Linked DNA regions of Notamacropus eugenii. The protein of the gene in region 2 interacts with the protein of the main gene of each other region in a pairwise test. Links are inferred from orthologs where the notes say so. Each region holds a gene or a part of one and is shown on either strand. Other genes may lie near its edges.

The links. The genes of interacting proteins can lie anywhere in the genome.
Region 1: the proteins of FKBP8 (region 2) and ZFYVE27 interact in binary tests that used the Homo sapiens proteins (3 or more experiments, as listed by UniProt). The link is inferred for Notamacropus eugenii from reciprocal best matches to the Homo sapiens genes FKBP8 and ZFYVE27.

The regions. Positions count from the first base shown.
Region 1 is NC_092872.1:214,485,573-214,492,696, reverse strand, and holds the start of ZFYVE27 (protrudin), read right to left. Parts: upstream 3,111-7,124; 5' UTR 3,064-3,110; coding exon 3,017-3,063; intron 2,574-3,016; coding exon 2,376-2,573; intron 491-2,375; coding exon 420-490; intron 1-419. UniProt on the Homo sapiens protein: Key regulator of RAB11-dependent vesicular trafficking during neurite extension through polarized membrane transport. Promotes axonal elongation and contributes to the establishment of neuronal cell polarity.
Region 2 is NC_092875.1:67,000,776-67,008,264, reverse strand, and holds the start of FKBP8 (peptidyl-prolyl cis-trans isomerase FKBP8), read right to left. Parts: upstream 3,069-7,489; 5' UTR 3,054-3,068; coding exon 2,844-3,053; intron 2,102-2,843; exon of another isoform or gene 2,099-2,101; coding exon 1,801-2,098; intron 1-1,800. UniProt on the Homo sapiens protein: Constitutively inactive PPiase, which becomes active when bound to calmodulin and calcium. Seems to act as a chaperone for BCL2, targets it to the mitochondria and modulates its phosphorylation state.

The sequences.
Region 1 (7,124 bases), on a different chromosome or scaffold from region 2:
TATAAGGGAGTTAGTATGCAATGATAAACATGAAAAAAAAGAAAAGCTGGAGACAAGTATGAAACAGGATTTGAACTCAGGTCTTCCTGTCTCCAGGCTGTCTCTACACAGCACAAATCCTTTATCTGCTATTCCAAATGCCATGAGCCTCGATGAATCAGCTTTCTGGAAACAAAAAGGGAAGGAGGCCAGGGGTCCATCCATACAGCTGTTTGGACAGCAAGGACAGGATACTATAACTGGCATAGCCCCAGGGGCTGACTGCCCTTGCTCCTTGGTACCTTCTAAGCATGTTAAATATTTCCATATGGCAACAATATCAAAGTAAAAAAAGACACTACCTCTAACTCAACCCAACCTGCAAGTTTTCTACCTCTCAACATATGGGCCCCACCTCAGGTCCCCAAACCAGTTCTTACCCTCATTCAGAGTGAGGAAGAGGAAATTGAGGCCCAGGCAGGTCAGCAGGGAACACACTGGTGTCTGCCACCTAGAACACAGAGAACCTTGATCAGTACAAATGGTGTTCCATTCCTGTGTGGTACCACAGAGCCAGCAAGCAGCAAAGGCAGGACACATGAGATTGAAGAGAAATGGTAAATAATGAAGAGGCTTTTCCTTTAGCCAAGCAAGGGGCAGGGAGAGTAGGGAGGCCTGGTAAGTATGCCAAGGATAAGAGGGGAAAAACCTGTGAGGAACAAGGTAAACACTAATCCTTGTAATGAGAAGAATGACCATCTCAGGGGTGCTTCCTCTGGGGGTCTTGGGGTAGATTTCAGAGGGTCCATGAAATTGTATGGAAAGAAAAATTACACCTTTTTTTTTTTTCAGTAACCTCCATCTGAAATTTGACATTTCTTTTTCTTATTTAAAAGTATTCTTCTAAGAAAGTGGTCCAGAGGCTTCACCAGCCAAAGGGGTCTATTACACAAAAAAGGGTAAGGACCCCCTAGACTAAATGCCCAGGGCAGTATCTACAAAAGCACACCCGTGAAGGAGTATATTTAACCACTTTTTAAAAATTACTTCAAACTACATAACGGTGTGGTCTGTTCAAGTGTGGACTGGACAGGACCAGATGACCTCTAAGGTCTCTTGTAATTCAGAGTTTCACAATTCTATGAAGGGGGTTTTATCATTCTCCTGAAGTAAAGGCCCCTGAGTGAGTGAATTAGGAACACCTGGGGAAGACAGAGTAGTTATGTACATCCCCTTTAAAAGGAAGTTCAGTTCTTCTAAGAAAAAAAAACTCAGAAGAGCAAGATATCTGTCCTGTGATCTCTTGATTGTAAATATAGGGTAATTAGAGCCCAAGAGAGATAAAAAGTGAAAGAAAAGAAGTCGGAAGTCAAAAGCAATAAAAACAAATACAAAAAGACACTTAAGACTGATTAGCCTTTCAATGTGCACTATTTATTCTACCTAATTGGACTATTTCCTCATTTCCCAAATAAAGTTAATTTCTCTGCTTTTATGTAAATATACTTCCTTTGGGGAAGAAAAGAAACAAAAGCTTGAGACTCTCTGGAATGGTATTTCTCTGAAAGCTGTACCTAGTGTCCAACTACCGCCCTCATTAATCCTAATCACTGATAGCAGTTAACAAGGGTAGGACATAAGAAAGCTCCTTAGAACTAACTAATCCTGAAACCTCAGCCTCTTTATGGTGTGAAAGACATTATCCTCCCATGGCAGCCATTCTATTGTTAAACTTTCTTCCATGCTAACTTGTCCCTTCATGAAGACTTTTGTGATGACCGGCTACTGCCCACAGGAAGGGCTGCTTACAGAAGACTGGCCTTTTAGAAAACCATGGCTGATTACACAGATCTGACAGCATCTCTACAGACCAGGGTCAAAAGCCTTTCAACACCAAGTGCTCTTTACTAGCGAAGGAAGGAGAGCCAAAGAACAAGCTTATCTCATACCCTCAGGCTCCCAAAGGTACAGAAATCAAAGACTCCAGCAGATTTGTGGGAGGGGTTTTAACCCAAAATCCAACAATGTCTCCACATCCTCAGTTTTATTTCTCTGGGAGGAAAAATAAAAAGAATGCACTAAAATACTTTAATATGCTATACTGCATGTTATTTCCCCTGCTAGACTGTGAACTCCTTGAGATCAGGGACTGTCTCCTGCATTTCTTTGAATCCTCAGTGCTAAGCACAGTCCCTGATCCACAATGTAGGTGCTGAATAAATGCTTATTAACTGAGGGCTTCAGATTAAAACAGGCTACCTGGTTTGGCTGCCCGGACCAAGGAGTCAAATCTAAGCGATGGTGACATTCAGCCCAGGTTTCTGAATGGCTATTACAGCAACATACAGAAGCAAAATGTGCAGATGCCAGACATCCCTACTCCATGAAGGCCATACCTGAGCAAATAGAGGATCCCATCGCCTGCATCCTTCAGGGGCTCCAAGTACAGAACAAGTCTCTTGTAAAACAGGACCAAATTGAAGAGGTCAAGCACTGGAGGCTTAGGTGGGGCAGGTGGAGGGTCAGGTTGGGCCTCAGGCATGGCAGTGGGTGTCCCCTCTGGCCCACAGCTCTCTTGTTCTAGTGCCTGCATCCTACATTAAGTTAAAATGGAAATATCAAACAACACATTAATGAGGAAAGCAGTAGGTAAGGGGAAAAATAGGGAAAAAAAATCTCCTGGTTCCTCTAGACATTCTATTATATTTACCCACAGATACTCATATTTTTACATTCCTACTCGTCTACTCGTCAAAAGAATAATCTGGTAACTTGGTGGGACCTGTCTGTCATTTCTTCAAACAATAAATATTCTTTTATGAGATTCAAACAGAATTTATCAGCTACCTCAAATCCTTTCTCTAAAGAGGAGGGGAACCTATCCAATACAGATTTCGTTCCCAACTCCAAAATTCTGGATACCTCCCACGACCCAGCACATCACTTTCCTTGAATATCTAAGAGCTAAACCAGAAGAGGCTTAAAAACAGAATTTAAAAATAAAACATTTAACTTTAAAATTCCCACCCATCCCTACCAGTCTTGGGGGGGAACATAGAGCAGGTCCCTCTTCCTCCAGCCCATCACTGTGGAAGGGAATTGGACCAGGAACTGACGCACCCCCTGGCCCAGAGGATCTTAAGAGCAAGAGCTGCAAGCTATCGGCTTAGAAATCACCCAGTTCAGGAGTCCTTGAACGGTCTGATATTTTGGTAACTGTTTCAATCAACCGGTTTCTTTGTAACACTTTGTATCATTCATACTTCCGAGGCGTCACCAGACTTCCCGAGGGGTCAGTGACACAGATCGGGTCCAGCCCCCTCAATTCAAAGACCCAGCGGGCTGAAGCTACTTTCCCGACAAACACGAGAGCCAGCCCCGGGTCCTGGGACTTCCGTGTTCCCGGAACGTCCTTTGGGGACAAATCCAAGGTCTCCCTCCACTTTTCTCCGAGGGACGGACCCGATCATAGGTCACTCCGGCCCGCCGGCCTCGGGCAGCCCTCCAGCCCAGGGAGACGAGGGGAAGGGGAGTACGTAGGGGAGGGGGCCCCATGCCCAGAGTCAGGGCCCGCCGCGGAGCCTCAGCCCCACGTACCCGACCTGCGGCCGGCTGTCTGCGACTCTCGGGGTCGGGCCCGGGACCCGGGCGCTACCCGGGTCGGATGGGGGCCGCCCGGTCAGGCGCGCAACTCCCAGCCCCCCGGGCTCAGGACCTTCCCCTCCACAGCAGCTCCTGTCACAGCTTCCGGAAACCTCGCCAACGTTTTACGCAGCGTGCCTCGTGACGTCAACGCGCGGGCTCCGCCCCTTCCAATCATTGTCCAGACTCCCCAAGGACGGGAAGGAGGCGTGTCCACAGAGGAACCGCTCCACCCCCTCCTCCTCCCAAGATTTTTTGCATACTCCTTTCGGAGGGTGGCCCGCGGTAGCAATGCGCCTGCGCGTGTCTTTTTTTTTTGGAGCCGCTGTGTTTCTAAGCAACCTTCCTCTGGTTTAGAGTGATGTCACCGGGAAGTCGACCTGCCTCCTTTTCCTGGGCTCTTTGAGACTGGATTCACATTTGCCCAAATTGACCGTACTGGGGAAACAGTGATGGAGGGGCGGCCTCAGTATTGGCAGGCGTCTCAAAGATCCTCTAGGCCAAGATCTTCCTGACTTGTTTATTGGTGTCTTTTCACATCGCCGTCACTTCCACCTCCCCTCCTCGTAGCAAACCTTAGAAGTTTGGGGGCGGAGGAGCCAGCCCACACGTCTGCAATAAGCCTCCCCCTGGCCTCCCACCTCCGCAATGGACGGATCTTATGTAATGTGGGGATCTCCAAGAGGAGGAAACTCCCTAAAACGAAGCAGGTCATCCCTTCTTTTTGCAATTTATAGGCCTTAAGAGTTACAAAGAGCTTTTCATGCGTAATCTCAATTAATCCTCACAACATCCTGGTAAGGCAGGTGCTATTAATAGTCATTAAAAACACCACTAACATTTATATAGCACTTCCTATGTACCAGGCACTGTGCTAAACGCTTTACAAATATAATCTCACTTGATCCTTTTGACAGCTCTTGAAAGTAGATGCTGTTTATCCCCATTTGACAGATAAGGAAACTGAGGAAGACAGAGGTTAAGTGACTACTCAAACTCAGGTTTACCTAATTCAGGGCCAAGCCCACCTCCTCTTTTTTTTTACCTTAAGGGGGTCCAGAGAGATCAATGATTTGTCCCTGGCTAACAGCTAGTCAGTAGCAGAGCTTAGATTACAGAAATCCGGTCTCCTGACTCCCTTAGCCAGTGTTCTATTACCACACAGCTACTCCGTGGATTTTAAAGGATTTTTTCCCCCTAGCCCCAAAAGAAATTTTTCCCCACCAACTAGGCAACAAGTCTGGAATTCCACCATTTTTCATGGTTTTTTTATCTTGAGAAGTATTTCTCTTCAAGATTCCTTTACAATAACTCTGGAAAGGGTTATCAAAGATTCATAGATTGTCACCGCTGGCAAGGACTTTAGAAATCACCTATGCTTTTTTGGACCTGTTGAGTTTAATATGTCTACTGAACACCTAGTTCAAGACAACTGAGAGGCAGTTGGAAATCAGGAACTGGAGGTCAACGGAGAGGTTAGGGTAGACTGGGTATATTTGAGAATCATCAGCATAGAGATGGTCATTAAATTCCTGAGAGCTGATGAGGTCACCAAGTGAAAAAGTATAGAAGATGAAGAGAAGAGACCCCAGGACAGAACCCTGAAAGACACCTATAGCATAATCTGGAAGAAGATCCTGCAAAGGAGAGAGAGGAGTGGTCAGATAGGTAGGAAGAAAACCAGGAAGAGAGTGGGCAGCTACGTGGCACAATGGATACAGCACCAGCCCTAGAGTCAGGAGGACCTAAGTTCAAATCATCTTAGACACTTACTAGTTGTATGACCCTGGACAAGTCACTTAACCCATGAAAGAAAACTAAGAAAGTATCAAGGAAAAGAGAGTGATCAATAATGTCAAAGGCTGTAAAAAAAGAGAACTGAGAAAAGGTCATTGAAATTGGCCACGAAGAGATCATGAGCAGCTTTGAAGACAATCCTCCCACCCCCTTCCTTGTTACTATACAGGGCAACACTATCCTCCCAATCCTTCAATCTCATAACACAGGAGTCATCCTGGATTCCTCACTGTTTCTCATCCCCACATATCCAATCTGTTCCCAAGGTCTGTTGATTTCACCTTGGCAACATTTCTTGAATTTGCCCCCTTCTCTCCTCTGACACTGCCCTCTGGTGCCATCGCTCATTGCCTCATGTCTGGACTATATTGTAATAGCCTGCTGGTGGGTTGGACTGCCTCAAGTCTCTCCTCACTATAATACATCCTCCATTCAGTCACCAAAATGATTTTCCTAAAGCTCAGGTCTGATCATGTCACTTCCTACTCAATAAACTCCAGTGACTCCCTATTTCTTCCAGAATCAAAAAATAAGATTCTCTGTTTGGCATTCACTCATGAATGCCTTTGGGGAGAAGACCTTAAATATAAACTAAATTTTGTTTTAAGAGATTTTCACCAGGACTCCAAGTTGGGAACATAATGAACCAGAGAATTATAAAAAGAAGTTTGAGCAAGATAAATCTCAGATATGTTCCCCTCTCTCCTCAGATCCCAACCTCCACACTGGTACCATTCCTTGTTACCTAACACCTGGGTTGTTGTAATAACTTTCTAGTTACTCTCTCTGAAGTTTCTCGCCATTGCAGTCCTTCCTTTACTCTAGCTACCAGTGATCTTTCTAAAGTACAGGTCTGACTAAATCCCTCCCCTCCTCAATAAACTCCAGTGACTCCCTACTTCTGTTTAGCTTTTAAATCTCTTCACAAACTGGCCCCTTCCTACATTTCCAGAACTAGTACCTTCCTTCCGGGATTATCTCTAAGTTATCATTCCTTGAAAACAGGGTCTGTTTTTGCTTTTCTTTGTATTCTTGGTACTTAGCACAATGCCTGGTACATAAATAAATGGCTAATAAATGCTTGTTGACTTTCTGATCCACTCTCTTTAGAGATGGGGCTCCCCTCAAGACTGAGCACAGCATTTTAATACTTGCTGACTGATTGAGCTCTTTAAGACATAGAGTTCCTCAAGATTGAAAAGGGGGGTGAAAGCAGTGCCCTCCTTTTCCTTTTTTAAAAGAAAACAGGACCCTGCCCCAGTCATTATAAATGGGTTAGCTTGTCTTCAATGCAAAGGAAAGAACAGTGGACTATGAGTCAGAAAGCCCAGGTCTCCACCCTAACTCTTACTCTTTGAGTAAGTTACTTGGCTTCATCAGCATCAGTTTCAAGTCAGTTCAATAGATATGGATTAGATAGCAGCCCCGAACACTCACCATGCTAAGTGGTCCGGATACCAAGATAGACCTTCTATAGGTCCTAATCTTAACACTTGCAATCTAGTCGTAATGGGTTTCCACAGCTATGAAGTGAGAAGGTTGGACTGAATGATCCCTAAAGTCCAGCCCAGCTCTAACAGTGTCTCATTCTGTCTCTATGACTTGGGACACATATTTCTTAAGAACCAGACTCTTCCTATCCTGACTCATGTTTCCTTTGTCCTTCATGCCTTTGCATCATTGACTATTATTGGTACCAAGACTGT
Region 2 (7,489 bases):
AAGGATAAAATGATTACATTCTAACATGGGGAGATGTTACATATATCCCTTCAGAGCTCTATCATCATCCGGGAACACAGAGAAAGTCTAATTAGACAGAGGGCCGGGGAATGCTTCTTTTATAACTTGATGATCTTTAAAGGAGAATGGAAAGGGAGGGAAAGAGTACACTTGGAGGGAAAGCAAAGTTAGGGAATATTATGTGCAAGTAGAGGTCTAGGCAAACAAGAGAAAACGGGGTAGGGGGAGCCAGTGACACCAATACCTTACTTTTATCTGAACTGATTAAAGGAGAGAAGCATATAGAACACATAGGAAGGGAGAAGGTGAAATAAGAGGAAGGGTAAATTAAGAGAGGCATTAGTCCTAAGTAAAACAAACTAACTAGGGTTATACAAAAATATCTATAGAAATTCTTTTTTGCAGAGACAGAGTTGGAAACTAAGGAGGGTGCCTACTAATTTGGAGAATGTCTGAACAAATTATGGTATATGAATGTGATAGAATATGACTGTGCTGTAAGAAAATATGAAGGGTATAGTTTCAAAGAAACCTGGGAAGACTGGCATGAATTGATGATGAAAAGTGAAGTATGCAGAACGATACATTATAATGACAACAACATGTGAGAAATAACTAACTTTGAAGGACTAAGGAGCTCTGACCAACAGATCAACGAGCAGATTCCAGAGAAGTCATGATGAAGCTTACTCCTCACATCCAAGTCTAGAGGTGAGGGACCCAGAATGTTGAATGAGGCTTATTTTTTGGACATGGCCAATACAGAAATTCCTTTTGCTTGACAGCACATGTTTGCACACAGGAGTTTTCTTTTTCTTTCTTTCTCAACTAGGAAGAAAGAGAGGTGGGAAGGAAGGCAGAATTTTGCTGATTGAAAAAAAATTTTTAAATATATATATTTTAAAGACATAAAAGTACTCAGAAGAAAAAACAGAGGGTCAGGAAGATTGGATCAGTTGCCTATGATCACACAAATAGTATAATGAGGACTTGAACTCAAGTCTTCTCAATTCTAAGTCAATCAATCAATAAACACGTATTAAACATCTTGGATGTGCCAGGCACTGTGCTAGGCACTGTGCTAGGCACCAGGGATACAAAAGGAGGCAAAAGATAAACCCTGCCTTGAGGAGAATGCAAGTACAGCACCCTGCCTCCCTCTCTCCCTCACTGAACTAATGACAGTGTACTGCCTTTTTGTACTTATTATATTCTAATATATATTTTTATCTGTTAAAAGCGCTGTGATAAAGACCATCTCTTACTCAAGCTAAGTTAGCACGATGGCTGAAGCGAGAGATCTGGAGTCAGGAAGACCTGAGTTCAAATGTGGCCCCAGACACTTACTAGCTGTGTGACCCTAGACAGGTCACTTAACCTCTGCCAGACTCTGTTTCCTCATCTGTAAAATGGGGATAATAATAGCATTTACCTCCCAGAGTGTAGTGAGGATCAAATGAGAGCTTTGTATTATGATGATAACGATTCTGGTTTCCACTCTCCTCTTTCAACCAAGAGACTATATATACCTGGCCCCAAATAGTAATGCCTCAATTTGGGCCTGCACATAATACATATGCTCCTTAAAAGGGCAGGGAACATTTTATTTTTGTCTTTGGAATACTCAGCACCTAATTCAGTGCCTGGCACACAGCAGGTACTTAATAAATGTTTACTGGATGACTGACAGTGAACGCTTAATAAATGAATGAAGTAACCCATGCCCAGCCTCAGACCCAGCCCCCACACCCTCATGCCTGAAAGTTTCAAGCCTCTTACCCAAGATGTCCATCCACTCCTCCTGGAGGGCGCCTGAATGCTCTGTCTCTTCATGCTCTGTCTCTTCAGATGCTGTAGGCTGAGGCTCCGTGGGGTCCTCATTTTGGGCTGCTCCCAGATCCTCCAAGGGAGGCAGCTCATTCAAGTCATCATCATCGTCCTCTTCCTCTTCAGTTCCATCCAGGACCTCAAAATCCTCACTTGCATCCAGCTGGGCAGCCCCGGAAGGTGGTGGAGAAACAGGGACTGGGTCTGCAGTAGGGGATGCAGCTTTGGATGCCATGGTTCTTGAGAGATGCTGCTGGTGAGGGGTGGAGGTACAGAGAGAGAGAGAAGAGCAGAAAGAAAGAGAGAGAAAGAGGGAGCCAACAAAGGAATAGAAGTAGCTTAGGTGGAGAGGTAACCAAGTACAAAGCCCACCTCGGTTGTCTCTGTCCTTGCCATCTTCCCTGGCTGGGACAGGGGGTGCTGCAATGGAACCAAGCTCCTGACCATAAGGGTGAAGGGGCTTTAGAACATAGTATCTAAACTGGGAAGAATCTTAGAGGAGGTAGACAGTTAGTTCATTGTATCTGGTCTCAGATATGGGTATGAAGCCCAGCTCTGTCATCTGACTGTGGGAAGGTCTTACTCTACCTCCCTAGGACTCAGTTTCCTCACCTGTAAAAATGAAAGAACTAGATTAGATGGTCCCTAAAGTTCAGCTCTACCCTTCAGTGACCACCAAATCTCTGTCATTTTGCAGATTGAATAAAAAAAAGTGGGGTAGAAAGGAGAGGAATCTGCCCAAAGCCAAAGATTTGGTCAGTCTGTGGCCACTGGGAACAGACCACAATTGTCCTGATTGCTCCTTTTAGGGGTCTTTCCATAAGGTCATCCTACTCACTCAAGACTGATCGCCTCCTTCTTTGACCCATCCTCATTATTGCGGAGGGGGGGGCGGGTTTTAACGAAGAAAGACTGCTTGGGGTACAGGAAGGGAATGGGGCAGGATATAGCCTTCAGGGTACCTGCTGATAGCATCTGACAGGTCAAACATTTACCGAATGAGATGACCTCTGCCAACACCTGGGGCTGTGGGGATGCCAGCAGGTGTGGAGTGGGATGGAGGATATCCAGAAGCCCCTAATCCTTCCCTTCAACTGAGAGGCCTGAGGCCAGACCCCTGCTCTATGGAGTGGGGTGATCACTGAACTTCCATCTAGCGTGGGGCGCGATTCTGGGGGTCTGGGGTCCAATCCCAGCTCTGCCATTGACAGTCAACCCGCAGATGACCTTGTTCCCACTCTGGGCCTCAGTCTCCTCCTCTGTGAAATGGGGGTTGGGAGGGTTGGACGAGGTGACTCCTGCGGTCCCTCCCCTCTAAATTCAAGCTCCTGTTCAGGTCTGGGGCTCTGCACACGCCCCCCGCCCTTTCCCTCCAGTCCCTGGGACCCTCCCCCCCCACCTCGGACTGGATGGGCAGGGACGGGACGCCTGGGTCCCTGGGGTAGATCTAGGCCGCTCCGGTTCGCGAGGCCTAGAATGGCTCCAACGGTGGGGCCGGGGTCTCCCCCGGGGTCCCCCGCCCCCATCCAGGTCCCCAGGCCTCGTCTCCAACCCCCACCCCGCTGCGGGCTCGAGCAGCCACCCCGCTCCAACCTCCTCTGCCAGCCGGGGCCCCGGGAGTTACCGAGGTCCCAGCCCGGCTCCCCCGGGGACACGTGGCACCAATTCGGGACCCCCAGGGTCCTGTGGGTCCCCCACCACCCAGCAGCAGCAGCTGCTGCCCGGCCTCGGGAATCAGCTGCCCTAGGCCCGCCCTCCCAGGTGCTCATTGGCTGAACCGGCCAGGAAGGCTTCCCGGATTGGTTGATGTGATTATCGCTCTAGGCGCGAGGACCCGCCTCCTTCCTGCTTTGGTTTCCAAGGTTTTTCAAGCTCTTAAAGGGACCGAGGCAACATGCGCGGGTGCGGAGGTCACGTCCAAGGCCAAGTCCTGAAGGGCGGGGCCAGGACTCCTCCGGGGCTGCGTTGGGTTCAACTCTCGCCCCCTCCAGGCAGCCTGTTGTTAAATTTGCGGCGAGAACGTTCGCACCTCGTAAGTGGACAAACAGCACGCCAGCGCTTGATGTATTGTTATGTTAATTAAGTAGGTTCTAGAAAGTGATGGAGAACGTGCTAATAACTCCGACGAGGATGCCCCGCAAGTCCTCCCCTCTGCACCTTCCCCCACACCCCTCCCTCCGGCCCCGCCCCCGCCCCTGCAGTGTGCTGTGTTAAACATTTACCTGCCTATCCCTGACCCGCGTGAACCCCCCCCCACACACACACACACTCCCCCCACGCAGCAGGGGGCCTCCAGCTAGTGAGCATCCGTGACTTCTGGGGCCTTGGAGGCGAAGGTGTGCTCGATTTTGACAACCCACCCCCTGTACCGTAGTTTCCCCATTTGCCAAACTCAGCCGACAAGGACATACAACGTGAATTTATATATGTATAAAATTTCATATCGTAGGTATTCTATAACTTCATTTCACGTAATTTAATTATGTTTATATGACACACGTATGAAATAAACATAAAATGCATTTAATACATACCTATAATATGTGAAACATACACATATGAAACATGAAACCATTTAAAATATACTTGGATCACTTTCCGTTTTAAATGAAATTGACAGATCACTCTAGCAACATCTCGAGTAAGTGGAATGGAAATGGCTTAACCTTCTGGGGCCACCACCCTTCCTAGTCTCCTCCCCCATTTCCACTTACCCCAGAGTAAAGATTACACTTTTAGAGGCAGATAGGACTTTAGACTTCATGCAGTCCAACCCCCTCTTTTTACAGCCCCAGAGGAATGAAGTGAGTTAATCAGGGTTGCAAAGTGCTTATATAATGAAGTTATCTATGTTTGTGCACCTTGAGGGCAAGGACGACTTCTCTGTTTTTCTTTTTTCTCCAATAAAAATGTTCATTTATACTTTTTTAAAACATTAGAATCATTTCCCAACATGCTGCGCCACCCCCAGACTCTTCCTTGGTAAGAAAGAGAATTTTGAACAAAACCCATCTATCAAGGACACACAACATTCCCCTCCTCTTGACCTAGAGACAAAAGTATGTTTTTTCCCCTTTTACCCGGGACCAAAAACAGAAAACATCAGCCCGTGGGACAGAAAACATCTGAACCCTATTGAGAAAGGTAACATGAAAATTAAAAAAAAAAAATAAAGGACAACTAGGTGGCAGCTAGGTGGCTGTGGGGATAGAACACTAGCCCAGGAATCAGGGGGACTGAGTACAAATTCAACCTCAGACACTTACTAGCCATGTGACCCTGAGCAAGTAAGTGCTGTGTGACTCAGTTTCCTAATCTGTAAAGTGAGCTAGAGAAGAAATGGCAAACCACTACAGTATCTTTGCCAAGATTTGGAAACTGAGGCCAGAAGAGGCAAATGAGTTGCCAAATGTCTGTCACACAGGAATTGAACACAGTCTCTCTAACTCCGGAACTGTTGCTTATACAAGCACAGGATTTTAGACTTGGAAAGGACCTCAGGACCAAGCTGATGGGGTGCTTGGGCCCCAATTCTAAAATCACATTTCTCTTTAAAAGTCACATTTCTCCCTAGCCTCAAAACACTATCCCAGGCAGTTTCTTCCCAGCCCAAGGACACAGCCTGCCCCAGGAACAACCATTATCTCCCTTCCTAATACAGCAGCCAGTTGCACTTATAGAACTTATTAGTCTGAACCAGCTGTGTCCTGGCTGAACTGGCTATGCCCTGGGTCATAACTGATCAATCATATGTATCCTAGACTTAGACACATGTATACTCCCTTACATTTATCTTGTCTAACAAGACATTGATGAGAGCAACCTGGTATTTCTGAGCCAGCCCTGACCACTTGTACACTTAGTGACATTTCAGGCCTAAAACCATACCTCCAAGTAGCCCTCCCTTGGGCTATTTCCCCATGAACTTTGGGTAAAATACCTGCGCAGTAGATACTAAAAGTGCATGCTCCTTTAAGAACTGACCGCTCTTTAACCACTCCCTAATCCCACCCCAAAACACCTAGTTAACATATTTGGCACATGCTTTACTATAGAATATCCTATATAAACTTTACCTGTACCCCTTTAAGGTTGCAGGTTCCGTAAGAACTCTTGCGCACTGAAAAGTGTAATAGAAGATGGAGAAGTAGAAAGAGGCACACACTCTAGCTCTTCCCCCACAGCCCGTAAAATACATGTGAAAAATATATCAACAAATTCTAGAGCAGCAGAAGCCACAGAACGACAGAGTAAAGGAGATTTCCAGCCAAAGGTAATCTTGAAGGCCAACAGGAGACGTCTATCCCATGCGATGCTGAGTGCAGTAGAGGCCAGCCCTGGCTGTGGCAGTGGGAGGAACAGGACCAGAACAGGCCTCTGGGGCAGAATCCCCAGCAAGGAGGGTCTCACATCCCTCAACTCACAAGCACCAAAGAAAGCTTCAAAGGTCACTAGGTGAGAGGGGAGCAAGATCCCCCTAGCACTGGCCCCAGGCAGTGGAGGTGGTAGTGGCAGCAGCAGCAGGGGTGGTGGTAGCTGCAGCATCCATCTGTGAAGCACTCAGCCTAAAGTCTCTAGAGGAATTGAGCAGCTGATCAGAATCTCACCCCTGAGCACAGCCCTGGGGTGAACAGGAGCACTAGAACCCTCCTCTTGACAAAGGATTCAGAAGTCAAGCAACTGGCTGGGAAAATGCCCAAAAAAGGGAAAACAAATAAGACCATAGAAGGTTCCTTTCTTGGTGAACAGGTATTTCCTTCCATCCTTTCAGATTAGGAAGAACAAAGAATACTGTCAGAGGAAGTCAAGGCTTATGCATCCAGTACTTCCAAAATGAATATGCAATAGGCTCAGGCCATGGAAGAGCTTGAAAAGCAAGTCAACAGCTTGCTAAAGAAGACCCCAAAAATAACACCTTTAAAAATAGGCTAACTCAATTGGAAAAAGAGGTCCAAAAAGCCAATAAAGAGAAGAATGCTTTAAAAAGCAAAATTGACCAAATGGAAAAGGAGGTTCAAAAGCTCACTGAAGAACATAGTTCTTTAAAAATGAGTATGGAACAGATGGAGGCTAATGACTTTATGAGAAACCAAGAAATCACAAAACAAAACCAAAAGAATGAAAAAATGGAAGATAATGTGAAATATCTCATTGGAAAAACAACTGACCTGGAAAATAGATCCAGGAGAGACAATTTAAAAATTATGGGACTACCTGAAAGCCTTTATCAAAAAAGAGCCTAGACATCATCTTTCATGAAATTATCAAGGAAAACTGCCCTGATATTCTAGAACCAGAGGGCAAAATAAATATTGAAAGAATCCACCAATCACCTCCTGAAAGAGACCCAAAGAGAGAAACTCCTAGGAATACTGTGGCCAAATTTCAGAGTTCCCAGGTCAAGGAGAAAATATTGCAAGCAGCTAGAAAGAAACAATTTGAGTATTGTGGAAATACAATCAGGATAACACAGGATCTGGCAGCTTCTACATTAAGGGATTGAAGGGCTTGGAATAGGATATTCCAGAAGTCAAAGGAACTGGGATTAAAACCAAGAATCACCTACCCAGCAAAACTGAGTATACTTCAAGGGAAAAAAAGGTCATTCAATGATATAGAGGACTTTCAAGCATTCTTGATG